Diceros bicornis minor: one gene and its partners. The main gene of each other region encodes a partner of the protein of the gene in region 2 in a complex. Links are inferred from orthologs where the notes say so. Each region holds a gene or a part of one and is shown on either strand. Other genes may lie near its edges.

What was found.
Region 1: the proteins of BCL2L1 (region 2) and TPT1 are in contact, whole or in part, in a crystal structure (PDB 4Z9V), measured with the Homo sapiens proteins. The link is inferred for Diceros bicornis minor from reciprocal best matches to the Homo sapiens genes BCL2L1 and TPT1. Residues at the interface, in NP_001304848.1 of Homo sapiens: Ala93, Glu96, Phe97, Arg100, Tyr101, Ala104, Phe105, Leu108, Gln111, Ser122, Gln125, Val126, Glu129, Leu130, Asp133, Asn136, Gly138, Arg139, Val141, Ala142, Phe146, Leu194, Tyr195, Ala199, Ala200, Ser203; in NP_003286.1 of Homo sapiens: Phe14, Asp16, Ile17, Lys19, Ile20, Arg21, Ile23, Ala24, Asp25, Gly26, Leu27, Cys28, Leu29.
Region 3: the proteins of BCL2L1 (region 2) and BAD are in contact, whole or in part, in a crystal structure (PDB 2BZW), measured with the Mus musculus proteins. The link is inferred for Diceros bicornis minor from reciprocal best matches to the Homo sapiens genes BCL2L1 and BAD. Residues at the interface, in NP_001276645.1 of Mus musculus: Ala93, Glu96, Phe97, Arg100, Tyr101, Arg103, Ala104, Phe105, Leu108, Gln111, Leu112, Gln121, Ser122, Gln125, Val126, Glu129, Leu130, Arg132, Asp133, Asn136, Trp137, Gly138, Arg139, Val141, Ala142, Phe146, Asp193, Leu194, Tyr195, Gly196; in NP_031548.1 of Mus musculus: Ala137, Leu141, Ala143, Ala144, Gln145, Tyr147, Gly148, Arg149, Leu151, Arg152, Met154, Ser155, Asp156, Glu157, Phe158, Glu159, Phe162, Lys163.

Annotation. Positions count from the first base shown.
Region 1 is NC_080748.1:31,402,788-31,413,129, forward strand, and holds TPT1 (translationally-controlled tumor protein), read left to right. Parts: upstream 1-6,102; 5' UTR 6,103-6,208; coding exon 6,209-6,236; intron 6,237-6,490; coding exon 6,491-6,564; intron 6,565-7,136; coding exon 7,137-7,327; intron 7,328-7,740; coding exon 7,741-7,846; intron 7,847-8,672; coding exon 8,673-8,789; intron 8,790-9,598; exon of another isoform or gene 9,599-9,728; intron 9,729-9,798; coding exon 9,799-9,801; 3' UTR 9,802-10,007; downstream 10,008-10,342. UniProt on the Homo sapiens protein: Involved in calcium binding and microtubule stabilization. Acts as a negative regulator of TSC22D1-mediated apoptosis, via interaction with and destabilization of TSC22D1 protein.
Region 2 is NC_080758.1:27,764,401-27,774,096, forward strand, and holds the start of BCL2L1 (bcl-2-like protein 1), read left to right. Parts: upstream 1-5,574; 5' UTR 5,575-5,656; intron 5,657-5,667; exon of another isoform or gene 5,668-5,770; intron 5,771-6,054; exon of another isoform or gene 6,055-6,896; intron 6,897-6,989; exon of another isoform or gene 6,990-7,101; intron 7,102-7,168; exon of another isoform or gene 7,169-7,186; 5' UTR 7,187-7,298; coding exon 7,299-7,862; intron 7,863-9,696. UniProt on the Homo sapiens protein: Potent inhibitor of cell death. Inhibits activation of caspases. Appears to regulate cell death by blocking the voltage-dependent anion channel (VDAC) by binding to it and preventing the release of the caspase activator, CYC1, from the mitochondrial membrane.
Region 3 is NC_080770.1:8,706,422-8,716,049, forward strand, and holds the start of BAD (bcl2-associated agonist of cell death), read left to right. Parts: upstream 1-5,388; 5' UTR 5,389-5,438; intron 5,439-5,720; 5' UTR 5,721-5,728; coding exon 5,729-5,915; intron 5,916-7,297; exon of another isoform or gene 7,298-7,377; coding exon of another isoform or gene 7,378-7,468; intron 7,469-9,628. Other genes in the region: integral membrane protein GPR137, read right to left, coding at 610-1,021, 1,411-1,529, 1,638-1,766, 1,892-2,041, 2,151-2,376, 3,073-3,122, 3,206-3,562. UniProt on the Homo sapiens protein: Promotes cell death. Successfully competes for the binding to Bcl-X(L), Bcl-2 and Bcl-W, thereby affecting the level of heterodimerization of these proteins with BAX. Can reverse the death repressor activity of Bcl-X(L), but not that of Bcl-2.

The DNA.
Region 1 (10,342 bases), on a different chromosome or scaffold from region 2:
TGCCTGTCAGGCCATGCTGTGGCGGCGTCCCATATAAAGCGGAGGAAGATGGGCACGGATGTTAGCTCAGGGCCAGTCTTCCTCAGCAAGAAAAGAAGAGGATTGGCATGGATGTTAGCTCAGGGCTGATCTTCCTCACAAAAATAAGTAAATAAATAAATAAAAAGAAATATTCAAATATCTAAAAACATCTTAGATTGGAATGAATCATTTTACATTCATCAAAGACACTAATGGAGGGGGCCAGCCCCATGGTGTAGTGGTTAAGTGTTCCTGCTCCACTGCTGGCGGCCCGGGTTCGGATCCCTGGCGTGCACCGACGCACCATGCTGTGGCGGCGTCCCATATAAAGTGGAGGAAGATGGGCATGGATGTTAGCCCAGTGCCCGTCTTCCTCAGCAAAAAGAGGAGGATTGGCATGGATGTTAGCTCAGGGCTGATCTTCCTCACACACACAAAAAAAGACACTAATGGAAATTATGTAAGTTATGTTGCTTGCTTTCACTTACGAGAAAGGAACCTGTACTCTCAGCTAGGCCTAGCTATCACTAGGAACTTGACTCATTACTCCCAGCTTGTTGTTAGTGCGTGGAGTCCTAGCGACCCTGTATACAGCAGTGCGGAGCCCTGCCCAGTCTTTTGCTCCATCGTCTCACCTTCCGGCGCTATATCAGACAATGCTCTGCTGCTATTCACTTGGTTTTCCTGGTCAATTTTTTTCAGAAATGAGTGGCCAGGTCCTTCTTCCTAGTCTGTCCTAGTCTGGAAGCTCTGCTGAAACTGGTCCACCATGGGCAACCCTGCTGGTATTTGAAATACCAGTGGCATAGCTTTCGGCATCACAGCAACACGCAGCAGCCACAGTATGACAACCGACAGATGGGTGGTGTGGTTCCCTGACTGGAAACAAACTCAGGCCTCGGTGGTGAGAGGGCTGAATCTAAACCACTAGATCACCAGGGTTGGCCTACTCCCATCTAGGCCTTGGTATTCTTCTGTTGAACATAAACAATCTCATAGAATATTAACACCAGACAAGGCTATTTTGTAACAAAAACATGACCTTTGTTCAAAAGGGCTACAGAGTCAAAAATAAGTATTCACCAAATCTTGGGCCACATAAAAAAAAAAAATCATCCCCTGAAATTGAGCAGTTGATGCTGCCAAGAAATATATTTGAAGAGAAAATTTGCTTAAATCAATGGGTTTCAAAACTTTTTGACCCAGATCCACATGAAGAAACACATCTTACATTGGGATCCAGTACATATATACACGTATAAATCTAAAATTAAAGTTTCGTGAAACAATACTCCCTGTGGAGGCTTTTTCCTTTACTGCATGTGATTCTTTCTATTTTCTTCTCTGTTCTATTTCATTTTTAATAAAGTTGGTCACTATTCACTAAATTGTTTCTCAACTCTCAATTTGAAAAGCACTGTGATACCAGGTCTTGGATATATGCTAAATCCAATTAATTGAGATGGGACTAGATTTAATCTAATTAAGAGACATGAAGAGAACTTCATTTCATCCATTCTTTCAGTGACAATTAAATTTTTTTTTTAATTTTATTTATTTATTTTTTCCCCCAAAGCCCCAGTAGATAGTTGTATGTCATAGTTGCACATCCTTCTAGTTGCTGTATGTGGGATGCAGCCTCAGCATGGCCGGAGAAGTGGTGTGTCGGTGCGCACCTGGGATCCGAACCCGGGCCGCCAGCAGCCGAGCACAGGCACTTAACCACTAAGCCACCGGGCCGGCCCTCAGTGACAATTATTGAGTCAGGCCCTGTTCTAGTTGCTGGGGGACAGCTGTTAACAAAACAAAGTCTCCCACCTCATAGAGCTTACCTTATAGAGCTCTGCTGTCCAATAAAGTTACTAACCATGGGTATTTAAATTTAAATTAAAATTAAATAGAAGTAAATATTCAATTCCATAGTCACACTTAGCCACAGTTCAAGTGCTCAAAAGCCACATATGGCTAGTGGCTACTCTATTGGACAGAGCAGATATAGAACATTTCCATTAACACAGAAAGTTCTTTTGGACAGTTCTGCTCTAAAGGAAAGAATTTTGCTTTGTAACTTGACTAAAGTAACGATTTGTTAGCAGAGTATGAAGAGTCTAGGAAAAAAGAATACAAATTTCTTAACGTATCTCAAAATGAAAGGGTTCAGACCACACACCAAGAATAGTCCAGCTTGGCTGCTTCATTCCTAATCACCTTGTCACAATCATACCGTGCATTCCAACACTCTCTGCCTAATTCCCTGTTAATCAAACCACATTTTCTGTAACTTGACTACTTTCTATACTACATCTAACCAGCTAGGAATTTCTCATCCTAAATTAATGGTATTGTGGTTTGCCAGTCAGTCTCTTAAGTTTGAACCTGAGCTCCAGTGAGCAAAGTGAGCACCTCTAAGCTGAGAGCCAGACCCTTTGCACTGTGCGTACAGCAGGCACTTGAAGCTGCCTATATTTTTCCTTGACAACAAAGTCCTGAGTGTATGTAGGGTGGCAATGAGCCAGTGCCAAGGAGCTAGAAGACTACAGTTTGCTGCCTTCCTTGCAACTAGATGCATCCTTGTAATTGTTCATGGGGCTTCTAGAATATCTCCTTAGAAGGGACACACACAGCTAGAATGTATCCCTGTGGTCCTTCCCTTCTTCTCGCTGCCTGCAAGATGGATGTGATGACGGGAATTATAGCATCTATCGTAGACTGTATTGATGGTGGACCATATTGAAGAAAGGAAGTTCCTGGGTCTCTGATGCCCGTGAAGCCACCATGACTTCATAGCTTCAGTCTGGACTGCATACCCCTGAATTTCTTTTGTAAGAGAGAATAAGCCCCTATGTGTTTAAGCCATCGTAGTTTATCCCTAATTGATAAAATGGCGAACCCTCCTGAGGTGATTTTCTCCTGTGAGAACTTGTGTGAAGAGGCCAGAAAGCATTGTCTTTGAAATCTCTTTAATTGAAAGAAATACCGAGTCATATATAGCTGTAAAATTCAGGACAATCTTAGATTTTGTTAGAAATCACTGCTTTGTAAGGAGTGTTATAAAAAAATTCAAATGATGCCTAAGTAAAAACTAATCAGCTTAGATAAAAGCCCAATCCTTGTAATTTTGACAGTGGCTTGCAATTTGTGGCTAATTGTCCTCTATTTGTATTATTGGTGTTCTAAATAGGTATTTTCAAGGTACAGCACAGATTTTCTAGACCACAGCATGGAGTTTTTAAAATATCCTGAAATACAAATCAGATTTTCCCAAGATTTTATTTTTTAGGATGTCTAGTCACTGACTTGCCATGAGCTATCAAATTTGAACCTGAGATAGAAATCTCACAAGGACACAAGTTGACTTCTTTCAGCGATCCCCTACAGTGCTGTGATTAAATAGTAGAATGTCTTTAACACTAAACTAAATCCCCAAAATATTTCCAAATAATATACAGGATTAACAGAATAGTTTCAGAAATATTTTGAAAAGTAAAAAATTTGGGAAGAATTTGGCATCATTCAACCAATACTTATTGATAACCTATTGAGGATGCTAAGCATTTTTTTCATCATCTTATTTAACTCCCCAAAGTCCTTTTAAGTCAAAAAAATTCCATTTTATACTTAGGCTTGGGGAGGCTGACTTTCCCAAGGTCACAGGACTAGTAACACCTAAAGCCAAGATTCAACCTAGGGTGCTTTGACTTAATACTTCAGGATGTCTTCACTGTGGCTGTTTTTACAAAACTTGAAAAAACATTTTTAATTAAACATAAAACTGGAGAGGAGTAGAGGGAGTAATGTTTGAGGGCACTGTAGGAGTGAATGGGAATCTTTCTGAATAATTTGAGAATGTTAAAGCTGAGGAAAATAATTAAACTGTGATATGCCTGGGAAAATAATCTGTTCCACTCAACACAGTCCAGAAATAATCAAGAGGTTTGAGAGACCCTTCATAGACCACCTGTCAGAAGATGTCCATCTGTCTTCTAATTCCCTTTACCCCATTTTTTAGCTTCCTCCTAGTTACCCAGTGTCCTCTGGGGTGTCTGGTGCAGCCCCAGACCCCATTTTCCCGGGAGGGTCCCATTTCCTGGCTCTTTTCCATTTTGACTCCTCCATTATCTCAGTTCACTGTCCTGTGCCCTGCTCTTTCACAACGGTTGCTCTCACTTACTCTGTGGAATGCATCATTAACGGATTTAGGGAAAACTGTTAATGTGTTATAATTTCCTGATTCTTCTACTAGAAAGAAACTTTCTGAGGGTGGAACTGGATTTAAATTGTTCACCATTGGGACCTCTGTGCAAAACCCAGTGCTAGGGACAGAGTAGAGCATAAAAATACCGTGGAATGGCAAGCTCTCGGGTTTCATATGGCATACATCTTTGCCTTAAAGATGTAACTAAACAGAGAAATTGGTTTCTTTTAGTACTTAGTAACTGGGTCTAAAGTCCAAACAACACTTGGGAGGTGGGAAGTTCCCTGCTTTTATGTTTAACCCTCTAGCATCTGGGTTATAAGTCCAACTTCATCTTAAAGTGACAACAGACCCTTTTTTTTTAATTGATGTTTTAGTAGTTTATAACATGGTAAAATTTTGGATTGTACATTTTTGTTTGTCCATCACCATATACATGTCTCCCTTCACCCCTTGTGCCCACCCCCTACTCCCACTGCCCCTGGTAACCACAATAATTTTCTCTGTCCATGTGTTGGTTTATACTCCACATGAGTGAGATCATATGGTGTTTGTCTTTCTCTTTCTGGCTTATTTCACATAACATAATACCCTCCAGGTCCATCCATGTTGTTGTAAATGGGACGATTTTGTCTTTTTTTAAGGCTGAGTAGTATTCCATTGTATATATATATACCACATCTTCTTGATCCAATCATCAGTCCAAGGACACTTGGGTTGCTTCCACTTCTTGGCTATAGTGAATAATGCTGCAATGAACATAGGGATGCATAGGCCTTTTGGGATTATTGATTTCAGGTTCATTGGATAGATTCCCAGTAGTGGGATAGCTGGATCACAGGCTATTTGTACTTTTAATTTTTTGAGGGATCTCCATACCGTTTTCCATAGCGGCTGCACCAGTTTGCATTCCCACCAGCTGTGTATGAGGGTTCCCGTTTCTCCACATCCTCTCCAACATTTGGAAAACAGACCCTTTTTTCAAACAAAGGACATAATTCAAGACAAGTGCAAAACAGAAAGGGCAAGAGCTCTTCAGCTGTCTGCCTGAGGAATCCACAAGCTCTCCAATACAGGATTCAACTGAGAGAAGGGAAAGCTATGCCAACTCCGTGACACCTTCCTTCCCCCCACCAAGTCCCTCCCCACAAACCCTGCACCCCCATGACTGCTCCCAGAGGCTAGCGGCATGACCTAGATCCCATTACCGGACCCAGCTCTGCCCAAAAAGGCGTCGGAAAACTCCAGCTGGGGCAGCTGCTGGGGCAAATGCTGAAAAGTCCTCTGAGGCCCTGGGAGATCAGAGGCCAGTCCAAAACCCAGGCCCTGCCCTCATCCTCGAGGACAGCCTCACTGGTCCCCCAAGGCCTCCAGGGCCCGACCCTCCGTACCCCCTACAACAGTAACATTTAGCTTCCAGAAAGGGGTGGGAGCTTGCGCGAAGCGAGGCGTAGGGCGGAAGCTTGAAGACATTTCATCTAAGCCCCACCCAGGCTCAGCACCCGCCGGGGCAGTCCCACAGCTTAACGAGGGGTAGCGCCCCAGGCCCCGCTTGCCCCATTCTCCCGCTTAGGGCCCCGGAAATCCTCCCGCACCTTCCTCAGCCCGCACCTTCCTCAGCCCGCACCTTCCTCAGCCCGCTCCTCCCCGCTGCCCCCAACCATTCTCCACAACCCGGCCCCGCGCGCTCCGTGGAACGCGGCATTGTGTCCCCGGGCCAAGTCCCCGGATGCTCGCCTCCCCCCGCCCCCCAGCCCGCGCTGTGGTCCCGCCCCCTGCGCAGCTCTGCGTGCCACGTCACCGCTTACGGCACTTCCGGAGGCGCAGCGGGCGATGACGTAGGTGGACGTGCCCTCTATATGAGGTTGGGGAGCGGCTGAGTCGGCCTTTTCCGCCCGCTCCCCCCTCCCCCCGAGCGCCGCTCCGGCAGCACCGCGCTCGCTCCGAGCTCCTGCTAAGTTGCGCCGCCGTCGTCTCCGTCCGGCTGTCACCATGATCATCTACCGGGACCTCATCAGCCGTGAGTCGTGACTGCACTACGCCTACTGCCGCGCGCGGGGTCGGGGGTGCGGGGAGGACGGACGCCGCCGCTGTCGTGGGCCTGGGGGACGCTGGCGGCCGTCTTGGGAGCGAGGAGGGGTCGGTGCCTGGTTCCGCGCCGCGTCTAGAGCGCCCGGGCAGGGCCGGGGCCGCGTGCGGCCAGGCGGCGCGGGAAATGGCGCCGGCTCCGGGCCCCGTGCGCTCGGTGACAGGCGGGTCTGTGTCCCCGAGCAGATGATGAGATGTTCTCCGACATCTACAAGATCCGGGAGATCGCGGACGGGCTGTGCCTGGAGGTGGAGGGGAAGGTGAGTCGGCTGGGCCGCGGCGCGGGCGAGGCGAGGCCGGGCAGGCTCGGGTTTCCGCCGCTCCCCCGCCCGAGGTTGTGCAATCCTCTCCGCTGCCTCCTGGCGGAGGAGACGCTCTTTCCGGGCTCGGGTTTTTCTAGAAAAGTGGAGGCGGAGCTGAGCCTGGAAATAGGTCCGCCGCCTTGGCGCCCATCCTCCACCCGGGCTCGGGCCGTCCGGGACAGGTTGTCTCTGGTTTGGGAGCCCCCAGCCCTTCAGCGTTTGCCCTGTCCCTACTGGCTCATGAGCCCATAGCAACCCGAGAGCCCACACATGACTTTCACTTGGTGGTGAATGACCCCGTCTTCGTTCCGGTCGACAGGCAAAGAATTCCTGTTGAGTTAAGATGTTTCAGGAATTCTAGGGCTCATAAGTTTTTTTCCCATGATGAGGTTTTTGTGGTTTTCAACAAGAGCCAAGAATGTTTGGAAGGATGATGAGTTCCTGAACTGCTGGCGTAGCCGATTTTTTGGATGCGTTTATGCTAAGGTCAAGGATGTTTTTTACAACTAAGTTATTTTTTCTTAATGCAGATGGTCAGTAGGACAGAGGGTAACATTGATGACTCGCTCATTGGTGGAAATGCCTCCGCTGAAGGCCCCGAGGGCGAAGGTACCGAAAGCACAGTAATCACTGGTGTCGATATTGTCATGAACCATCACTTGCAGGAAACCAGCTTCACAAAAGAAGCCTACAAGAAGTACATCAAAGATTACATGAAATCGTAAGTGATACTGGCACACCAGCTGATGTCTGGTGTGCCTTAGGATTTAGGGTTTGGCTGACTTTGAGGATCTTTAGCAGCAGCAGGTGTACTTGTGAAAGGCCTTTTTTATTGATGAGCTCACTAGGATGGTTGCTTTTCTGTAAATAAACTAATGAGAGTATAGTGGAGCATGCAGTCTGGTTTTAGCTTTTCAGATAGTACTTTGGAAATAAGTTAAGATTCAAAATTGTGAACAGTCTTGAAACATCCATCCTGTGAACTAGTAATTTCTCGATTGTGTCATATTATTTTGCTCCTTGACAGCTAGTTGCCCTTTTCAGTGTGTTTGTTTCTGTTTGGATTTTTTACTTAATGAGATTTATTTTGCTCAGAACTCAATACTTTAACCTATTAATAAAACGTTGTTTTAGAATCAAAGGCAAACTTGAAGAACAGAGACCAGAAAGAGTAAAACCTTTTATGACAGGGGCTGCAGAACAAATCAAGCACATCCTTGCTAATTTCAAAAACTACCAGGTAAATACCTTAAATATTTGGATCAAAGGATTGTACGGTTTTAGCTGTGAGAACAAAAAATTAGTTACTTGATGAATCTTGGATGTAATTAAATTGTGGTTATTTTCCTGGGCTTTTGAGCAGTTTAAATAATTCAGATGCAACTCCAGTAGTGGAGGCTGTAGACAGTAACTTTCCCTGTTCCCAAGGGTGTTTCCAGATCTTGTCTTCTGGTTCCAGAATCTCATCCCTATTCGCTTAGTTCCTCTCTTGAATTGCTTCTTAACCTCCTAAGTGGTCTTCCAGTTTTCTTTCTCTTTACAATTCCTGTATGTCTCATTGCCACCGGAGCTCTTTCTGATCTGAGCTGGTTCTGTTGGGGAACTTCAATGATTTCGCCTTACCTCTAAGACTTAATAAAGAAACAAACCCACCACAACCTGGCTCTTTAATTTTCCAGCTTTCATACATCCTTTGGCCATAAGATAACTCCCCTTGTGATGTGCTCTTTCATTGGTAGCCTTACGTTCCCTGTGCTTGACTATGTGTACAGGTTTGTAGGGTTTGAAATTGTATATGTGGGGTTGAGAGAGCAAGTTTCCAGAAAGCCTAAATTGTTCCTGGACTGCTTTGTACTGTTAATTTTGGTCATTATTAGTGTGTTAACTGGGTGAACAGAAGGTTGACTAGTGAGCATTTTTTCTCCTAGGCATCAGAGCCTTTAGTAGCTGAAAGTCTCTTGATTAAATTGTGGTGTTCTGAACCATCCTTTGTTTTATTGCAGTTTGTTTTCATATGATACATCTGTATATAATGGACTAATTCTGGGTATTGTTTGCTTCCTAAGTTCTTTATTGGTGAAAACATGAATCCAGATGGCATGGTTGCTCTGCTGGACTACCGTGAGGATGGTGTGACCCCATATATGATTTTCTTTAAGGATGGTTTAGAAATGGAAAAATGTGTAAGTATAAGGAAGTGGGTCAAAATCAGTAATGTAAAAATGGAGATATCTTAGGTGTGATTCTCCTTTTTCATGCCACTGGGCAAGTTAGAATGGATTCTACAGCAGTCCTTTTAAAATGTGGGTCTAGGTCTTGTTTCTCTTACTTTGGGAGTCTAAAGAGGGTTGTGTTTCACACAAGAAAAGATTTTCATGGCACAGAGGCTTAGAATCTTTCTTTAGCTAAAGAAAACTTATTGTTGATGGCATTGTAAAGCACAGCTTAAATACTGGAGATCAGAGACAACACCCTATGTTGATCTTTCTCCCAGAAATGGCCTGTCGAAATCAGACTGCCTTTCTCTTCATATTTTGCCACATATATACATGAATATCAAAACCTTTTTTACTTTGGTTTACTGATGATTGACAGCTGGTCATTGAAAGCCTTGATGTTACTAGCTTTTAGAAAATACAGTTTAGAGCTGGCTGCTGACTCAACATGAAAGTTGCTTTAGTAAAATGAAATAAATGGATGAATGTCTGCTGTGCAAGGAATTGCTGGCGGCAAAAGGGAAATGAAAGCATTCATTATGCTAGCTTTTAGAAGCTTCCACCTAAATTAGGATCAAGATAAACTTTAGGCCACACTAAATAAGATTAGAGGCAACAATGGGCAAAAATGTCTTAGGAAAGGACAGATGACTTGTTGCTAAAGGGATTATTCAGAGACTATCTGAGGTTTTGGTAGAACAAAGTGTGTGAGTGGGACTTTGCTCAGAATGAGACTTTTCAGGAAAATGTGCTACCTCTGATTAGTGAAGGTGGTTCTGCACCCACTGATAGGCCTTGAACAGTTTGTTGTTGTTCATTTGGTTTGCACTGGGATGCAAAAGAAGGAAATCCCTGCGCTTTCTGCCTGTCTTCGTGGCAGCTCAGATTGAATAGGGGAATACATCTGCAGGTTAGGAATGTTAAATACTTTTATATTGGGGAAAAAGTGTTAATACAATCTTTCTTTTTTTTACAGTAACAAATTTGGCTATTACTTTGGATCTACACCTGTCATAACTGGCTGCTGCTTTTCATCCACACAACACCAGGACTTAGACAAATGGGACTGATGTCATCCTGAGCTCTTCATTTATTTTGACCTTGATTTATTTGGAGCGGAGGCATTGTTTTTAAGGAAAAAACATGTCATGTAGGTTGTCTAAAAATAAAATGCATTTAAACTCATTTGAGAGAATGCCTCTTAGTTTAATATATACTTAAATGCATCTTGTATAGTGTTCCTGGAGAAGCTAGAGCCTGGTTGTAGACCACTACTAGAAAGCATAAGACTGTCTTCAGATAACTTCTACAGTGAAAACTACTTCTGGGACTGGAATATAAAACCAAGAATCACAAGTCTTAATTCTGAGTTGAAGTAAAGGGCAAGACCATGCTCATAGCAGTGCCTACATTTGAAGTGGATTCCTTACACATTTCATCACCTACAAACGGAAGTAGTTAACTCTGGAAGAGATTACCAAAAGAATAAAAAGAGACTAATACAGTTGGAAGCAAAGTAT
Region 2 (9,696 bases):
ACAACTATGTACTGGGGCCTTCGGGAGAAAAAAGAAAAAGAGGAAGATTGGCAACAGATGTTAGCTCAGGGCCAATCTTCCTCAAAAAAAAAAAAGAGAGAGAGCTAAAAGATGAGTGTGTGTCCTTCAGAGATCTTCCAATGCAAATACAAGCCCTCATATTGCTATATCTATACACACACACATATATGTATTTTTATATTTTTATATATGTGTGTGTGTTCACATATTTTTATATTTCTCATTTCAAAAGTAATGCCTTCTTGTTAGTAATATTTGGAAAATATGGGAAATAATGAAGTAGAAAAAAATAACTATAACCTAGCCTTTAGAGGCAACATTTCCACTATTAACATTTGAGTCTATTTTCTTCCAGTCCTTCTAAAATTGGTTTTATTAGCTATTGAGTAATACATGTGTATATATACATATGTATACACAAATATATATATACACATATATATGTAAAATGTATAAAATATATAAAGAATAACAAGGCAACTTGGGGCTGGCCTGGTGGCATAGTGGTTAAGTTCACATGCTCCACTTCTGCAGCCCGTGGTTCACAGGTTCAGATCCCAGGTGAGGACCTACACACTGCTCATCAAGCCGTGCTGTGGTGGCATCCCACATAAAAAATGGAGGAAGATGGGCACAGATGTTAGTTCAGGGCCAATCTTCCTCACCAAAATAATAGTAATAATAATAATGAGGCAACAAACTCTGTGTACATATGTACAATTCAGTTGAATAAGGACATTTCCATTACCTTTCAAGCTCCCAATTTTATCCTGTTCCCCGGTTCATCTTGTACCCTACCCTGTTAATGTGTAATGGCTATCTTGAATTTCGTGTTTATTATTTCCTTACCTTTCTTTGTAATTTTACCACATAGGTATATATCCCTGTATTAGTTATCTATTGCTGCAGAACAGACTACTCCCAAATTTAGCTTAAAATTATAAACATTTATTATCTCATAGTTTCTGAGCGTCAGGAATCCAGCTTAATGCAGTGCTTCTGGCTCAGGGTCTCGAGTAAGGTTGGAGTCAAGTTGTCGGCTGTAGTCATCTGAAGGCTTCACGGGGCAGCAGGATCCTCACATGGCTGTTAGCAGGAAGCTTCATATCCTCACCACACATGGGCCTTTCCACAGGGCTGCCCACAACATGGTAGCTGGCTACCCCAGAGTGAGTTATAAGAGAGAAAAGAGAGTGGTAACCCAGTCTTGGAAGTGACATACCATCAATTCTGCCATTTGCTATCAGTCACATGGAACAACTCTGGTACAATGCGGGAGGGGACTGCACAAGAGTGTAAATACCAGGAGGCAGGGATGTGGGGGGCCCATCTTGGGAGAAGCTGGCTACCACAAACTCTCAACAGTATGTTTGTTAGTTTTGCCTGTTTTCAAACTATATATAAATGGAATCATACTGCATTATTCTTTTGCATTTTTTTCATGCAAAGTATTTCCGAGATTCTTTCATGCTGTGTAGCCAAATCCACTTATTTTCTTACTGTATCATATTACTATATATGAACATACTCCTATTTGTTTAACCGTTTTGCTATAATGGACACTTGGGTAGTTTCCAAATTTTTGCTATTACAAGTAGTGCTGCTATAAACATTCTTATACCTGCATCTTGCACATGTGCAAGAGTTATTTTAGGGCATATATCAAAGAACAGAATTGCCAGGTCATAGGTCATGGGCATTTTCAACTCCACTAGATAACAATAATTTTTTTTCCGAAGTTATTTCACATTCTTGAACCACACTTGATTTGATCAGATTTTCTCAATTTTGCCAATCTGGTGAGTGTGAAATGGTATCTCACTGAGGTTTTAATTTGCATTTTCCCTGATAACTAGTGAGGTTAAGCATCTTTTCAGGTTTACTGACCGCTCTGGTTCCGTTCCTCTTTAGCATCTGTGCAAGGGTTTTTTTCCATCTTTCTTTTGTCTTTATCATATTAATTTCTCAGCCTTTTTCGTATGTATGGTATTTAGAGTTGAGATCACATCACACATCTACTTTTGTATACTTTTATTTTTGTATAAGCGTTTCCTCATTGTCTAAATCTCAGCAAACATGTTTTTAAATAGTGTTTTCTAATTTAAAAAAATACAATCATGTTCGGATAATACAGAAAAGTATAAAAAATAAAATAAAATCATCCATAATTTGACTACTCAGCAATAACCACATTTTTGCATTCTGGTATAATTCCTTCTATATTTTGCATGTAATGTACGTTTTTTATAAATTAGAATAATTCTCAGTAAACCTATTTTTTTTTTTACAAAGTATTATGTTTTGAGCATTTTTCCATGTCATTAAATATTCCTCAATTACAATTTTAATGTGTGAATTTAACCCATTTAACCATCACCCTATTTATTGAAATTCTCAGTTTTAATTTTTCTTTCCTGTGTTATAAATAATCTTGCATAAACATCTCTGTGGATAAATCTTTGGCTGTATTTCACTTCTTTTCTTAAATTAGATTCCAATCAAAGATCATTTCTCAATGATCTTTCCAGAGCTGTTTTTAAGGCTCTTGATAAATATTATAAAGTTCCTTTCCCAAAAGACTCTATCCCTCTTTCCAAAATATAAACCTCTCCATGTCCTTTCTGTTCAAAAAGCCTGGTAGGCTCCTCCGGTACCTATTTAGTGTCCTGCGCAGTCGAATACACACATACATTCAGTCTCCTCCACCACATTCTACTCTCAGCCATCCCACTTTATTTCTAGGACACACCATGGGCTCTTGCATTAAACCTCCGTGGCTTTGCTCAGGTGGTGCCTTCCACCTAAAATGCCCCTTACCTCCTTTCTCTCCCAGGCAAAATCCTATTCTCCCTTTAAGGGCCAGTTCAATAAAAACCATGTTTCTGGGCAGAGTTGATCTGCCCTCTGCTGGGCTCCCAAAGCACATCATAGACTTCCATAAGGATAATTTTCACATTGAAATAATTGTGACACCACAGGTTTTAAAAGTGGAAATCAGATCATGTCCTGCCCAGTTTAAAACCCTTCCATGGAATATAATAGAAAGTTCAGAAATTGACCCAAATACCGTTGGGAACGTAGATTATGACAATGGAGACATTTCAAATGAGTTGGGAAAAGATGATAATATTGAGATAACTAGGTAGTTATTTGGAAAAATTTTTTGGATTCCTGTCTCAGACCTTAAAACAAAGTAAATTTATGATGGAACAAGGATTAAAATGTAAAATATGCAACCATGTAAAAACTAGAAGAAAACAGAGAATTATTTGTATAATATCAAACTGGAGAGGGTCTTCCTAAGAATGGCATAGAACCCGGAAGCCACAAAGGAAAAGACTGATACATTAGAATACATACAAAATAAAAGTTTTTCCATGGTAATAAATAATAAACTGGAAAAATATTTACAACCTCCATATAGAAAAAAAGGATCAAATTTTCTATAAATCAATGAGTAAAAAGTTCAACAGAAAGCCCAACTGAAAAAAGGGCAAATGAAATGAACAGAGAATTCATTAGAACAAGACTCCTCCCCCAAAAGACTCACAAATATGAAAAATTAGTCAACTTCACTCTTAATAAAAATAAAAATAAAAAATGAAAGTGTCTCCGTTTTTATCTATCTGATTGGCAAAAATAAAAAGCTTTGATAACACTGTATAGTTCAGGATGTGAGGAAATAGGCACTCTCATATTTTATTTGTGGGAGAACAAACTGGTACAACTCCTATATAGAGCACTTTGCCAATATCCATTAAAACGCAACGAAAACATTCTTGTTTATTGGTGATTCCACTTCCAGGGATTTACCCAACAGATAAACTGCCACATGCAAAATAAGGAATGGACAAGTTATAACTTTATTCGTAATAGGAAAGGACTGGAAACTACCTAAGTATTTCCAAATAGGGGATTGGGCAAGGAAATTATGACATGTCTTTACAAAGTTGTGCATTAATTTAAAAAATTGAGGCAGACCCAAAATACAGAGCTCATGGAAAAAGCAAGATGTGAAGTGTTTATAGCAAGCTACCATTTGTGTGAAACATTTATACACATAAATTTGCTTGTGAACACAGCAACCATCTCTGAAAGACTACAGAAGGAAGGGGTTAAGAGTGATGACCTCGGCCAGGCCCCGTGGCTTAGCGGTTAAGTGCACACGCTCAGCTACTGGTGGCCCAGGTTCGGATCCCGGCGCGCACCGAAGCACCGCTTCTCCGCCCATGCTGAGGCCGCGTCCCACATACAGCAACTAGAAGGATATGCAACTATGACATACAACTATCTACTGGAGCTTTGGGGGAAAAAAAAAGGAGGAGGATTGGCAATAGATGTTAGCTCAGAGCCGGTCTTCCTCAGCAAAAAGAGGAGGATTCGCATGGATGTTAGCTCAGGGCTGATCTTCCTCACAAAAAAAAAAAAAAAAAGAGTGATGACCTCTGTGAGGGGAACAGGGGACTGGAAAGCAGGGGTGGGAAGAGGACTTTTTCATCCTATGCTCTTTGGTATATTTTTAATATTTGGTGTTCCTGTATACGTACCTATTTTTAATCAATTACATTAACATAAAATAAAACACCTTTCAGTGTTTAGAATCAAGCGCAACTCACTTCCATGGTCAGCTTTCCAACTTCCTCTCACACCGTATTTGCCCTCCCTCACTACCTTCCAGTCACATTGCTTCTGGAACATGCCAAGACCTTCCTGCCTCAGGACATTTTGCACAAGCTGTTCCCTCTGCCTCTGTTGGTGTTCTCTAGGCTCTTCCCATGAGTTGGCATTTTCTTATATTTCAAGTCTTGTGTTCCATGTCATCTCTTCAAAGATGCCATCCTTGGCTACCCTGCAAAACAATTGTTGAAAAAATGCCTCCCTCCCTCACTGGGCACGGAAGGCTGGGCTTACTTCCCTGAGCCTCAGTCTAAAGCAGCACCTCTCCCTTCACCCTCTTTACAACAATGCCCTGATTTATTTTCTTCATAGCACTAGTCACTATTTGAAATTACCTCGTTTGTGTAGTTTCTTAGTTGTTTACTGTCTCTCTCCATCTCAAGGGTTTAAATCTCAATGAAAGCAGGGACTATGGCTTGTCTTGTTCCTAAATCTACCTTCAGCAACCCAAACAATAAACATTTGTTGAGTGAATTTATGCAGCACATCCTATGGACGGTGCACTCTTCTATGGACTTTACAAATAACTCTTTTAATCCTCACAACAACGCAATGAGGGAGGTTGTTTTTTACCCATTTTAGAATTAAGGAAATTGAGGCACACAGCAGTTGAGTGACTTGCCCAACTGGCAGAGTTGGAATCCCAGACGCAAGCTTGTTAGCTACAACGCGATGCTTTTTCGATCTATAAACTGACGGATGGATGAAATTGACTGAATGGAAACGTGAACGTAAACGTGGATTTTTTTTTGCGTCTCGGGATTCCCCAGCTCTACAGCAAGGGGGCGCTCTCTCCCAGGTCTTGACGCCAGTCCTCAAGGCGCGCACTCCCTGTGCGTCTCGGGCTCGCGCGCGCTACCGCGGCACCGGAAGTGACTGAGCTTGCAAGTTCCCCCGGTCTCTTCAGGGGAAACTGAGGCCGGCTCGTTCGGAAGAGACAGCGCGAGCCGTCAGCCAGGTAGGCCGGCCCGGGTCCGCGGCGCGGAACTCGGCCGCGAAGAACCCTCCCGTCTGGAAACGACTTGGCCGATGAAGGGGGGATGTGGCCCCCCACGGCTGGCGGGGCGCGCAGGTGAGAGCGCCGCCTCCCCTACGCGTGGCAGGCGCTGCGCCCAATGAGAGCCCTCGCCGTTCCGCTTCCGTGCCGTCTGGGCTCGCTGATTGGCTACGCTGGGGCGGGCCGCCGGGGGCGAGACCCCTCCTCCCAGAAAGGTCTAGGGGGCGCCCCTGAGGGAGAGCGGTTGCCTAGCAACGGGGCGGTGGCCCGGCGGGTACCCGGCCCAGCGCGCGCGCGAAGCCGCGAGGCCGCAGCCCACCCACCGCGGCCGCCGGAGAGGTGCTGCCCCCGGCCCCCAAGCCCTCCTGGGGGCGGCACGAATCTGCCTTGGGCCTTCTCCCAGGAAAACGTGGTCTTAGCCGTGGGGGGCCTCGAGCAGGCCTCGACCCCTCTCCCTGACCCGAGGAGAGGCCCGGCGCCTCGCCCTCAGCCGGTCTTTGTGCAGGGTGCCGGCGGCCATTGTGTCCGTGCCGGGAATGGAGGACCCGGCAATCCTCCATTGCCACCGCCACGTCCAGGGCCTTTGGGGAATTCAAAGAAAACCGGCGGCGTTTCTGGGAGGTCCCCGGCCTTCAGCCTCCCAGAAAGGCCTGGGGATGGCCTTTCCGAAGTCACACCGCAGATCCGAGGCAGTTTCCCCCTCCCTCCGTCCCTCATCGAAACCTTGAGCCCCATTGAGAAGTCCCTTCAGGGTTTCGGAAGCCTCACCCTGGGCTGGTACTTAAATAGGAAAGAAAAAAAAAAAAACAAAAACAAACCCTAAACCCCACACCAGCCACCTCCGGGAGAGTTCTCCTGGCTCCCAGTAGGAGGCGGAGAGCCAAGGGGCGTGCAAGAGCGAGGGGGCTGGGCTCCCGGGTGGCAGGAGGCCGCGGCTGCGAGCGGCCGCCCTCGATCTGGGCGATGGAGGAGGAAGCAGGCGAGGGGGCCGGTTCCTGAGCTTCGTAATTCCTGTGTCGCCTTCTGGGCTCCCAGCCTGCCGGGTCGCATGATCCTTTCAGCCCGAGCTGGTTTTTTTGCCAGCCGCCGCGAGGCCGGCTGAGTTACCGGCATCCCGGCTGCCACCTCCTCTCCCGACCTGTGATACAAAAGATCTTCCGGGGGCTGCACCTGCCTGCCGTCGCTTGAGAGGGATTTGAATGTAGGTGGTGCGGAGGCGGGGGTAGGGGCCCGACTGCCCAGGGGGGTGATTTTCCGAGGAAGGCATTTCGGAGAAAAAGGGGTGGCTGGCGTAAAAAAGGCCGGTGTGATGATTCAGAGCCCACTGGTGCTTTCAGTTTGACTTCATTGAAGTCTCCTGGAAGCTAGACCAGACCTTCAGAAGAGCCACAAAGAAACCAGTTCTGGTACCTGGAGGGGGAATGGGATGTTTGTAGGGTAAATGGCATGCATATTAATTTTTTTTTCCTGAAGCTCTTTCTCTCCCTTCAGAACCTTATCTTGGCTTTGGATCTCAGAAGAGAAGCACCAAGCAGAGACCAGACTCTGTGAGTGAGCAGGTGTTTTGGACAATGGACTGGTCGAGCCCATCCCTATTATAAAAATGTCTCAGAGCAACCGGGAGCTGGTGGTTGACTTTCTCTCCTACAAGCTTTCCCAGAAAGGATACAGCTGGAGTCAGTTCAGTGATGTGGAAGAGAACAGAACTGAGGCCCCAGAAGGGACTGAATCAGAGATGGAGACCCCCAGTGCCATCAATGGCAACCCATCCTGGCACCTGGCGGACAGCTCCGCGGGGAATGGAGCCACTGGCCACAGCAGCAGTTTGGATGCCCGGGAGGTGATCCCCATGGCAGCGGTGAAGCAAGCGCTGAGGGAGGCGGGCGATGAGTTTGAACTGAGGTACCGGCGGGCATTCAGCGACCTGACATCCCAGCTCCACATCACCCCAGGGACAGCGTATCAGAGCTTTGAGCAGGTGGTGAATGAACTCTTCCGGGATGGGGTGAACTGGGGTCGCATTGTGGCCTTTTTCTCCTTCGGTGGGGCACTGTGCGTGGAAAGCGTAGACAAGGAGATGCAGGTATTGGTGAGTCGGATCGCAACTTGGATGGCCACTTACCTGAATGACCACCTAGAGCCTTGGATCCAGGAAAACGGCGGCTGGGTAAGGACCACGCCCCTTGTGTGTCCCTTTTCCTTGGCCTTTGGTCAGAGAGATCCCCAACAGCCTCTCCCCTCTATCTCTTTATGTTGTGCTGGGTGATTGTTGGAGATGTTTTTTGTCAAGGAGATGTGAGTAGCCTCATTGCACCACAAGAGGTTAACTGTTCTGAAATACAGATGACCCAGATCTTGAAGGACCAGGCATCTTTCATTCTAGTCACCCTCATGACCCCACTCTTTCATACTTGTGTTCCAGTTTCTCAGAAGAGCAAAAGACAGCCTGTGTGTTCATTTGGCCCAAAACCTTTGAGAGTGGGAAGTTAGTCCACTGTTTCCCTCCCCCTAATATAAAGGCTTGCCACGCAAAGGGGGGATGAGTACAATGCCTGGAGAAGATAGTATCAGTGACCCACAAGCTCCTCCATTCTTACTCCCCCGGGATGTCAGTCCTGTCCTGGGCTTCCCTCCCCCAAATCAAGTTCCCTTTTTTTCAGGGTTTGCATACATGGTACTCTCCTCTCAGAACAGGGCATGGCCAGGCAGGAGTTCCCCCTGGCTTGGATGGCTGAGGATGGTCTGATTTTAGGGCAATGTAAGCTGTGCCAGTGGGGCAGTTGTGTTTGTGCTGCTCGCCTATGGTCATTTGCTCTGAAGTGTGCAACTTTCTGCATGGTTGGCCTGTTTGCGGAGCTCTTGCTGTGTCACGCATTAGGCCTGGGGACTTTGCACCTCACTGCCTAGGGTCGGTTGGGGAGCTCTAGCTGTTCCGCCTGTTGCTTTCCGGCCAGGGCCCTGGGGCCTTTTCACCCAGCACTGTTTGCTGGCAAAGCAAGAAGCCGGTCTGTGGGCCTCTGTGGGACATTGAGATTCAGTGACAGACTTAGGAAACAAACTGACACATGGGTGTGAGTCCCAGCCCTGTCACTTAACTAGCTGTGTGACCTTGGACAGGCCAGCTTACCTTAAGCCTCAGTTTCTTCCACTAAAAAAATGGGGCAGGCCCTCCTTTCCTTGCAGAGTACTGTAAATCTTGGAGCTAACGTGAGCCCAGTGACTGACACCAGTAAGTTTGCTGTGGTAGTTGTTATTGGTCCCAGACACTTTCTGGGCCCAGGAGTCATGCCTCACACCTTTGCCAGGGAGGGAGAATTCTCTTGCCCGTCACCAAGTCAAGATGAGATAGTGGTGAGAGATTCTTTACCAGTGGTCATTGTAGGCAATTTTTGCTTTTCTACAGTGGACTCAGTCCTATTTCCTTGCTTATCTCCCTGCCTCCTGCCTTGGGGAGGGAGGTGCAGGACTTATGAGAGGTATTCTGTCTCCTCAGAATACCCAGGCTATCAAGCAGGGTGTGGAAAATAAGTCATCTATTGAAGGAGCTGAGGTGGAAGGGGGCCATTCACCATGGACTCAGGAATGTCAAGAATGCAATTATCCATAGGCTGGGCCTAGGGTGTGGCAGGCACTTCAGTTTACCAGTGAGCGAGAGACCTCCGAGTATGCCCTGGAACCCCACCTCCTGTCTTATTTCCCATTTCTTTACAACTTTATCAACTTTTCCCACTGCCAGTTCTTGTAAAAGGCAAAGGGGTCAAGTCAGTAGAGGTCAGATGACTAGGGTGGGGTTGGGGGAGGTAAAGGCAGAGGGCTCTCTTGAGCTAAGGCTGACCAGATTTGAAAGCCATTCTGTAAATGAACTCCCTGGGGGGATAAATGATTAAATAGTTCCTGTTGGTTTGTGCAATGACCTCTCTTATTCCCTCCTGCTTTGATTCTCTTTGGGGGCAAATATTTGTTCAGCTGATTACAGGAGGGACAGGATTCCAGCGCTTCAG
Region 3 (9,628 bases), on a different chromosome or scaffold from region 2:
AGTTCCAAGTGAAGGGTTTCAAGACAGGCTCCGTGCTAGGCCCCAGGCACTCCGAGGAGCTGGGACAGCCAGGTATGTGGGCAGGAGACAGATCCTCTGATCAAGGACTCCCAGCCACCAGACAGATCTGCCAGGGCTATGTCAGAAGGTGGTGACTGTGCTATTAGGGGCCTCCAGGACCACCAGACTGTGTGGGGGCAACCCCCCATCTGACCAAATCCACACCTGGTAGGGAGATGGGGGCTGCTCAGCCCCCGGCCAGCTCCTCATCCACAGGCCCTGGACCAGACCCTGGCCCGGAAGGCCAGGCTGGACGTGAAGACAGGGAAACAGGGTCTCCAGAAATCCCAATCCACGGGGGGTGGGATGCGTAATAGCCACATAACCACAGGGCCACGGTACCCAAAGGGGGGCACATGGTTCCCTGACCTGGAAATGGAAGGCTTCCTAAAGGAGGTGACATTTGGAGCAGGTCTTGAGGAAAGAGTAGCAATTGTTCAACCAGGGAGGGACTGGAGGGGGCGCAGGGCTCTTCCTTCCCCTGAGAAGGCAGGCTCCTCCCTCTCCCTGCCCAGCAGCCCCCTTCAAGGGCAGGTGTCTGATCAGCCTTCAGCTAAACAGGTGACGAAGCAAGGAACACACAGCGGACAACCGACAGACAGTGAATGGACGCGGGGCACAGACACTGTTTATTGAGTGGCAGGTGCAGGAGAGGTCGCTGGCTCCAGTGTAGAAGCGGAGGCAGCAGGTCATGCCAAGGCGCTGTGGGCATCTGGCAACCAGGGCCATGCCTCCCATCCTAGGGGACGGCATAAGCTCACTACAACAAGAGTAGCAAGCAGCCGGCCAGGGGAAGAGGCAGCCACAGCCCCCAGGATCCTGGGCAAGAAGCGGCAGGTGAACTTGGCACAGGGGCCTGGGGTAGGAGGACTGGGGTCTGGGTGTTCTGGGGGGAAACAGAAGGGGATCACGTCTGTGGGGTGGAGTAGAGACTGTGGTGGTGGCCGCCTGGTCCCAGCACCTGGGAGAAGAGCAGAGGAGTGGTCCGCGTCTGGCTGCCCCCGCACCAGCCTGGCTCCCGCCCGATGGCGCCGTACCAGCTGCCGGAGCCTAGGCTGCCTGACATGCTGCAGGCAGAGAAACACCGTCAGTCCCAGGGCAGTGACCAGGGCCACATTCACAAGAGCTGGGGGAGGGAGAGAGCCTCAGAACAGAAACCAATGACCGAGACCTCCAGGATGCAAACTGCATCTCGGGGCGAGAGATGGAGACCTCATCTAGTACAGACGGGAATCAAAGAGCACGGCGGGCCAGGCAGGTGGATGGGTGGCAAGACCCAGGACTAGGTCCCCATAGCTTGATGGAGCAAGCCGGGAGCCCAGGGGTCTGAGGCAGGGCCGGGGCTCCTACCTGGTGCTCTCGCCCCGGCTGTGCTCCCAGGAGCAGCCCTCGTCCTCGCAGTGCCCAGCCCGGTCGAAGAAGTAGGAACGGGAGCCAAAGACCTGCCCGTTGAGGATGCGGCTGGTGCTCTGGGGAGGAAGCCACCATTGATGCTTTCTCCTGCCCTCACTGGCCTCCCACAAACCCTTTAGACCCCAGCCCAGGATTCCATGTCCACCCCTCTCCACAGCCCTCACCAGGTCCTGCGGGGGCCGGTGTACCCGGAAGAAGCCCACCAGCAGTGTGGTGGGCAGCAGCTCCCACACAAAGAGGATGAGGCCAAACACCAGGTAGCCCTTGTTCCCCAGGTCATTCACCAGGTCCGCCTGTGGGAAGGCAGGGGCTTGTGTCAGTCCGCAGTCGTGCTATGGGGCACCCAGATAGGGCCCAGGCCAGCTGGGGACCAGGAGCCACAGCTACTAAGGAGGCGGCAGACGTGCCGAATGCCCACCTGGTCGGAGACGTTGTACCAGTCGTAATCAAAGGCATCCAGCCGGCTCCGGGGGGCCAAGGCCAGGGCCGCCAGGTTGTAGCAGGCCCGGCTGGCATAGAGCAGGACCATGGCGCCACCCATCACGGCTGCCTGGCACACACTGGTCCCCTGGCACAGATGACAACAGGGAGGGGAGGCTCTAGCTTCCTCTCTACCCTGAAGACCACTGCCCAAAGACCCCCAAAGGATACCCAGGCATCAGGGCTTGTGGCCCTACCTTGGCCTCCAGGTAGATGCTGGTGGAGGGGGCCCGCCGGGCGACAAGGCAGAGGCAGGCGGCCAGAGAGAGCGCGCAGATGACAAAGAGGGAGTCGCTCACCAGGACTCGCACCAGCAGGAGGGCCCAGGGCTGTGCCCGGCGCCGGCGGGACAGCACGGCACACAGCACATTCACCAGCAGAAAGAGCAGCGAGGCCCCCACGAAGGCCCCTCGGACGGCCAGCCTGCGGCCCACAGCACAGTCAGCCCCAGCCCTGGGCGCTCAATCACCCCACCTCCCACAGAAGACCCTGGTCAGTCAGAACCAATCCAGACCAATCCAGTCCGAAGACTGCCCCTCCAGTTTTAGATGGGGAAACTGAGACCCAAAGAGATCAGATGGTGACCGACAGCTGTGGTCGAGTGGAGAGAGCACCGGACTGAGAGTCAGAAGTCTGGGTTTCAGCCCTGGCTCTGCTCTCTGCCAGGTCTACGACCTTGAACATGCTGCTTTACCTTGCAGGCCCTCAGTTTCTACATCTCTCAAATGGCGATAGTAAGAGCCTCAGGGGTAAGTTGTAAAAATTAAAGATGTTTGTGAAAGCTCGTCATAAACTGGAAGACGTTATACAAATGACAGGATATCGCCACGCAAGGTCACCCAGAAGTGCAGTCTGGCTTGGGCTGAAGCCTCCCACTCTTCCTCCATCATGGGTGACACTGGTACCCTCTCCCCTCACTCACGACTGTTTCTATTATAATTTTTCTTGACCTATGCTACGCCTCTGCTCAGCCATCCACCCCAGGAGCCCTACTTTTCCAAGCTTTTTCACAAACACTCCTGGGGTGGTCCTTGCCTCAGCCCTGCAAGGGAGGAAGGAATGGACACCGGGCTGCTCCCTGGCCTGAGGGCTGAGCCCACCAGTGTCCCGAGTACTCACAAGCCTCGGCTCATCTCTGGCCGACGCTTCGCCTTGGCCTTGAACACCACCTGGGAGCAGAGACGCCCATCATTCCTTTGGGCCTCTGGGGCTTGCCCCACCACCACCCACCCCCACCCGGGACCACAGTTACCTGGGCAAAGTAGAGGTTCATGAGGGTCAGCGTGAAGAACTGCAGGCAGACAGGGCAGCAGTAGAGAAGCCAGAAGGGGAGAGGCCCCAGGCGGTTGGCACGGGGGGTGTCTCGGAAGTAGAAGGAGAAGAGGGTGGTACGCAAGGCAGCCCAAAGCAAACAGAGTGCCAGGAACACCGTCTGGTAGCTGAGACGCTTGTGCCCATAGAGCAGCACCAGCCAGAGCTGGGCATAGACGGAGAAGAAGAGAAGGGCGTACAGCGTGGTGTAGGCCGCGGTCAGCCCCAGGGTCACAGCAGGTGGCAGGGCAGGCACCAGCCCAGCAGCAGGCACCGGGCCAGATAGGTTACTCTCCATGTCAGGGAGGGAGGCCTGAATCCCGGAGACAGAGATGGAGGGGCTGGCAGGGGGCCAGGGAAATAAATACGGAGGGGTGGGAGCTGCAGGGTACAGAGATGGAGATGGGGCGCTCGCGAGGAAAGAAGTTGCGGCTCACCAGGCCCTTCCCCCTCCACAGAGGGGCCCTCGCCCTTGCAGCGGGGCACGGGCAGCCTGGAGCCTGCGCCCCTCACTCGGGGCGTGGAAGGGCAGTCTCTCCTCTCCAGGGTAGAGGAGGTGGGTGGGGGGTGTCTCCCCTGCACCACCCCAGAGCCGGGGTAGGGGACTGCAGAGGCTGAAGGAGAGAGGTCCCTGGCCTTGGTCGCTCGAGTCGTCCCGGCAGGAGGGGGAGAGCCGGCCGATGCCCGTGGGCTCAGGGCAGCGGCCGCTGCGGGGGGCGTTCAACGCCCGGCTCTCCCCCTCCCCAAACTGGGGAGATCTCTCCCCTCCAATGATCCGGATGGGGAGGGCCTCTGCCTTCCGTCCTCGGGATTCCGGACGCTGCCTCCACCCCACCCCCACTGCGTCCACCCTCCAGCCGCGGGGGACCCGAGGAGGCGGACGCCGGGTCCTCAGGCCGCCGCTGGGGGAGCCGGCTCCGGTCGCTGGGACCCGGGGCTCCAGCTCCCCGGCTCCCGCTGCTCCGCCCCCTCCTGCGCCTGCGCGGGCGCCGGTCGCTACGCAAATTGCGCAGGGTCTGGCCCGGGCTCCGCAGTCCGGCGCCGCGCCCGGCGCGGAGCCGTTTGAGAATTGGCGCAGCTGCGCCGCCGGCGGACGCCAGGGGTTACGAGAGGCTGCAGGCGGCCGAGACGCTGGGGCCGCGCCGCATCCGGCGGGCGCCTGGGGGGGCCGTGCCCGGGGCCACCGGCCCTTGCTTGTTTGAGGGGCCGCCAGTTCCCATGCTTCTCTTCCCCATAGCCAAGCCGAGATCGCTCCGCCCGGCTGAGGGCGGCAACGACTTCCCCTCACCCGGTTCCTGAAGGAAACTTCCGCCCACAGCCAAGATGGCCTCCGGGCCCCGCCCCCTGGGCCTCACCCGCTGTCCCCGCTGTCCCCAAGCGGCCCGCCGCCCCACGCCCTGGCCGGCAGCGGCTCCCGCTCACCTGGGCGGCCGCCTGCCAGGCGCGAAGACCCCGCGAGTCCTACGGTCACCCTCCCAGGGGGCCCTGTCCGCTCTCCTGCGCCGGGGCAGCCATCCCGCCAGGCAGGAGACTGCTCGCTTATCTCGAGCGCTCCCGCGATGGCGCGGGGAGTGGTGCCCGATGCGGGCGCTGCGAGGTTTCCACTGTGGGGAGGAGGAGGGCGCGGGACTTCCCGACCCGGCCACCCATCCAGACGGGGCAGTGACAACAGCGACGACAGTTGCAGCCGGCGGCCAAGCTTCAATGACGGCTTTGCAAAGTGCTTTCACACACGGTTTACAATGATCAGTGGCTCCTGAGGGAGGTGTCATTATCCCCATTCTACAGGGGTAGGAACTGAGGCCAGAGGGGCGGAAGGACTTGTCACCAGAAGCTGGTCTCCAGGTTCCCGGTGGGGACCCCAGAGAATCCCTCCTCTGCTCCCACACACGCCCAGGGCACGAGAAAGCCGGGAGCCGAGCGTCCGGAGACGAGGAGTGGACCCAGGCAGGAAGGCGGGCGGCGGAGAGCGGGTCCGGCGGGGGGGGCGGGGCCGGGCCGGGAGCGGCCCCGCCTCCTGGCCCGCCCTAGTGACATATCGAGAGCTGATTGGGCCGGGTCTGTGACAGTTTCCGTTGCCCAGGCAACTCGGGCTGGGCTCCCTCAGTACTAGAGGGAGGCGGCGGCGGCGGCGGTGGCGGGCTCGGGTCAAGGGCCTCCAGATCGGGCTTGGGGTGAGACCTGGGTGCCGTCACCACGGGCGGGTCAGGCCGGGGCCTGGGTAGGGGCCTGGGGCTGCTCCACCGCTCCAGGGCTCCCCGAGGAGATTTGGGTCCTGGGTGGACAATCTGAGCTTCCTGCCCGGCCCACACTCAGTGGACAGATGGGGGCCTGGGAGGCAGGGCAGACCTGGGGCTCTAAGGTGGGAGAGGGGGTCAGGGGTGCCTACCCTTACCCCCCCACCTCCCCCGCCGGCCACCGTTTGCCCCTAGCCACGCACCATCTTGCCCCTACAGCCCAGAGCATGTTCCAGATCCCAGAGTTTGAGCAGAGTGAGCAAGAAGACTCCAGCCCTGCAGATAGGGGCCTGGGCCCCAGCCCCACGGGGGACCGGCCCTCAGGCCTGGTCAGGCACCAGCGCACGGCCCCAGGCCTCCTGGGGGAAGCCGGTCACCAGCAGGAGCAGCCGGCCAGCAGCAGCCACCATGGAGGTAGGCACACCCCCTTGCCCCCAGCCCAGGACCTCCTGCACCCCAGCCGCATCCACACTCATAGGGTGGCTTTGAGTAAGTCCCTAACCTCTGTGCGCCTCTGTTTCCTCTGCTGTAAAACAGAGAAATTAATCACCACCATTGTAGGGCTGTTGGGATGAATAGCAGGAGTATACAGGAAGCACTTAATTATAGTGCTGGTGCTTAATGAATGCTCAAAGAATGTAGCTGTTAGGACCAGGACAGAAATCTGAGAGGCAGGCAGGGAGCCAGAAAAGGGAAGTTACTTGCCTAAGGTCACACTTGCTTGGCATTTCCTTTCGTAAGAAGCGGGGCTGGAAGGCTCCATCAGCGCTCTGCCCCAGGCTGCGTGCTTTCTCTGGGATGGGCCTTCTAGTCCCCAGGTATGTTCCTTCCCGCCCTGTGGTCACACCCACACCGGGGCTATCCTTGCCCGTTGCCAGGGGCAGGTGACCTCAAGAGGCAGACAGCCCGCCCGGTCAGTGGGTTACTGTAGGGGTGGGGAAGCACAGGCCTCCCTCCACGCCCACTGAGGGCGGCCCAGCGCCGAGAGATGGGAGGACGGGCACAGGAGGGCAGTGGCCATTTCTCAGTGGTCCCACCTTCTCAGTGCCCAGCACTGGCCTTGGCACCTGGAACAACCACAGAGATCTGAAAACAAAAATCACATCCCTCGCGTGCTGAAACCTACATGACCCCTTTCATTTTCGGGAGCAAGAAGGCTTACTAAAGCCTCCTCCCCAGCCCTCCGCCACACGCCCTGTCAGACGGAACTCCACCGGCTTTAACTTCCAGATCTTTGCACTTGCTGTTTTTCTGCTTGAAAAAGCTTTCCACCTCCCACCTGGCTGTTCCTCCCCATCCTCTGTATCAAGTGCTTAATAGGTGCCACGTAGTCTCCCAGCTTCCAGGGGTACATCAGTGACAGATGAGATAAAAATCCTTGCCCTCGTGGAGCCTACCCTGTCCTGGGGTTAGGGGAGGCAAGCCATAAACAAGAAGAAAATGATAGAGTGCATTAGAAGATGACAGCCGGGGGCAGTGCGCCAAACAGTCTTGCCTGTCTCTTTTGAATTCGGAGTACCGGGCCTGGGGGAGTGACTTCAGCTGAGGTGGTCAGGGTTGCCTCGGTAAGAGGCAACGTTCGAGCAAAGGCTGGAAGGGATGAGGGGTGAGCCACGCAGGTATCTGTGGGGCGGGAAGGGTGCATGCAAAGGCCCTGGGGGCAGGATTCACCGGTCCAGGCCAGTGAGGGGAGGGGCTGGGAGCTGGAGATGCATCGAGTTAATGGAGGGGGAGGGGCAGCCAGGCAAGGCTTTGAAGGCCAAGGTAAGGACTTTGGCTTTACTTTGAGTGAAAACATGGGAGGGCTTTGAGCAGCTGCGGGGTGATCTGATTTTGGCATCAAGAGAATCCCCAGGGCCCCTGTGTTGAGTCTGCAATGGGCAAAAGCAGCAGTGGGGCCGCAGCCTGCGCCCGAGTCCCTGCGAGGGAGGATGGTGGCTTGTGCCAGGGCGGTGGCATTGCAAGTGGTAAGTAGCTGGACTCGGGGTTTATTCTGAAGGTAGAGCAGGATTTGCTGCCGGACTGGATGTGAGGGTGAGGGAAAGAGGAGTCGAGGATGCTGCGAGGAATCTGGCCTGGACGCCTGGAAGGACGGGCTTGCTCCTGAGATGGAACTGAGATATGGGGGGACAATCAGGAGCCCAGCTGGGCCAGGTCAGCTTAGAGGTGCCTTTTTGGCATCCAGGTGGAGATTTCTAGTAGGGATGGGTCCAGGCAGGATTCGTGCACGTGGGAGTTGTTAGTCACCGACGGCCTGTTCTGTGAGGCCCAGGGAGCCAGTGTGGACAGGAGGGGACCTGGACTGAGCCGGGGGCTCCAGCCTTCAGAGGGCAGCAGAAGAGGAGGAGCCGGCCCTGGGGACTGAGAAGGAGGGAGCAGCGGGGTGGGAGGGAAACCCAGAGCATGCAGGGCCCAGGGAGGCGTATGGGGCTCGTAAGGAGTGGGGCTCTGGACCCACGATGCTCCTGGGAGGGCCGCTCACTGGAGGAGGGCTGGGAATGGGGCGCTGACGTTGACAACTTGGGGCCACCGCAATGGTGGGGAGGCGGCGGAAGGCTGACCTCAGTGGGGAGGGACAATGGGAAGAGAGCTGGAGACAGGAGAGAGCCCGCTCTCAGCAGCTGTCCTCCGGTATCGAGGAGCCAAGGGGTGGGCGGCAGCTGAAGGCCCGAGGCGAGGCAAGGAAGTGTTGTGTTTTTTTTTTTAAGATAGAAAGGGAAAAGAAAATAACATGTTTATAAGCTGATGGGAGTAATCCAGGAGCGAGGGAAATACGGGATGTTGCAGGAGAGAGGGGAGACTTGCCGGAGAGATGTCCTTGAGTGGGAGACGGGGGTCTGCTGCCCAGCAGAGGGGCAGCTCAGCTAAGAGCAGGGCAGTGGACATGGGCGGTATATACCTCGTGGAAACTAGACGTTTCTCTTGTGGGTGCTTTCAATTTCTCAGTAAAAGGTCACAGGCCAGGAGCGAGAGTGGGGCAAGGGTTGGGGGCTGAGGGGAGAGAGGAGCAGTTTTGAAGTGGTTGCCGTCCTGACAGGCAGGAGGTGGTGGTGAGCCCGTGGGAGGCCTGGGATGGAGTTATTGATGTGACAGGCCCAGGTCCTGCCCGCGGGAAAGAGGAGGAGGGGAGGGGAGGGGAGGGGGGCGAGGGCAAGGAAGGAAAGGCTAGGAGGTGGGAGGGACCACTCTGGTCCATGAATGAAGTGAGACAGGAGGGGTGATGGACAGAGTGCTCCTGCACAAACTGGGGGCGCCACCTGGGCAGGGGGGCACCTGAGGCATGGAGTGGGGGATGGCACACCCAACAAACTAGATTCAGTGGGGGGGAGAGTGATCTGAAGAGCAGTAAGGAGCCCAGGGGACATCTACCCCAGCTCCAGACCCAGCCGTGGGGAGGGCTGCAGGAGAGAAGAAAGCCACTGTTTGAGAGGACCACACAGGACTTCTTAAACTTTTGACTTAGTTTTCAGTGTCTAAAAAGCAAGTGATTTTTCCATAAAAGATCCACAAGTGCCAATGACCTGCCAGAGCCACAGGGCCACTGCCCCCTCCGGGTGGGCAGGTTCCCGTCATTCTTCATCTTCCCTGCCACCTGGCCCCTGCTGGATGGACTGTAAGGGTTCCCAGGGCAGGGACTGTGGCCAGGTTGAGCTTGAGCAGGTTAGTTAACTCACCCTGCCTCAGTTTTCTTATCTGTAAAATGGGCATAGAACTAGTCCCACCTCACAGGGTCATAGTGAGGATCTGCTGAGTTAATACAGGAACAGTGCCTGGCACAGGGGAGTCTTTGCGGTTCTTACTATTATTGCGATTGTTGTTGTTATTGTTACTATGCATTGTCCCAGGCTCTGAGCAGTCCTGGGGACTGCCATTGATTCAGTGGGGACAGAGACGTGAATAACCAGTGCCCTCCTGATGGCAGACATGTGAAGTATAGGTTAGAACCAGAATGTAAGGGCCTTGCAGGCCATGCCAAGGAGTTTGGGCTTTATCTCATAGGCGATGGGGAGCCATTGAAGGTTTCAGGCAGAGGACAGACAGACACAGTCAGGTTTAGAGCAGCGTTTGGCAAACCACAGCCACAAGCTAAATCCCTCTTCTTTTGTACAGCCCATGAGCTAAGAATG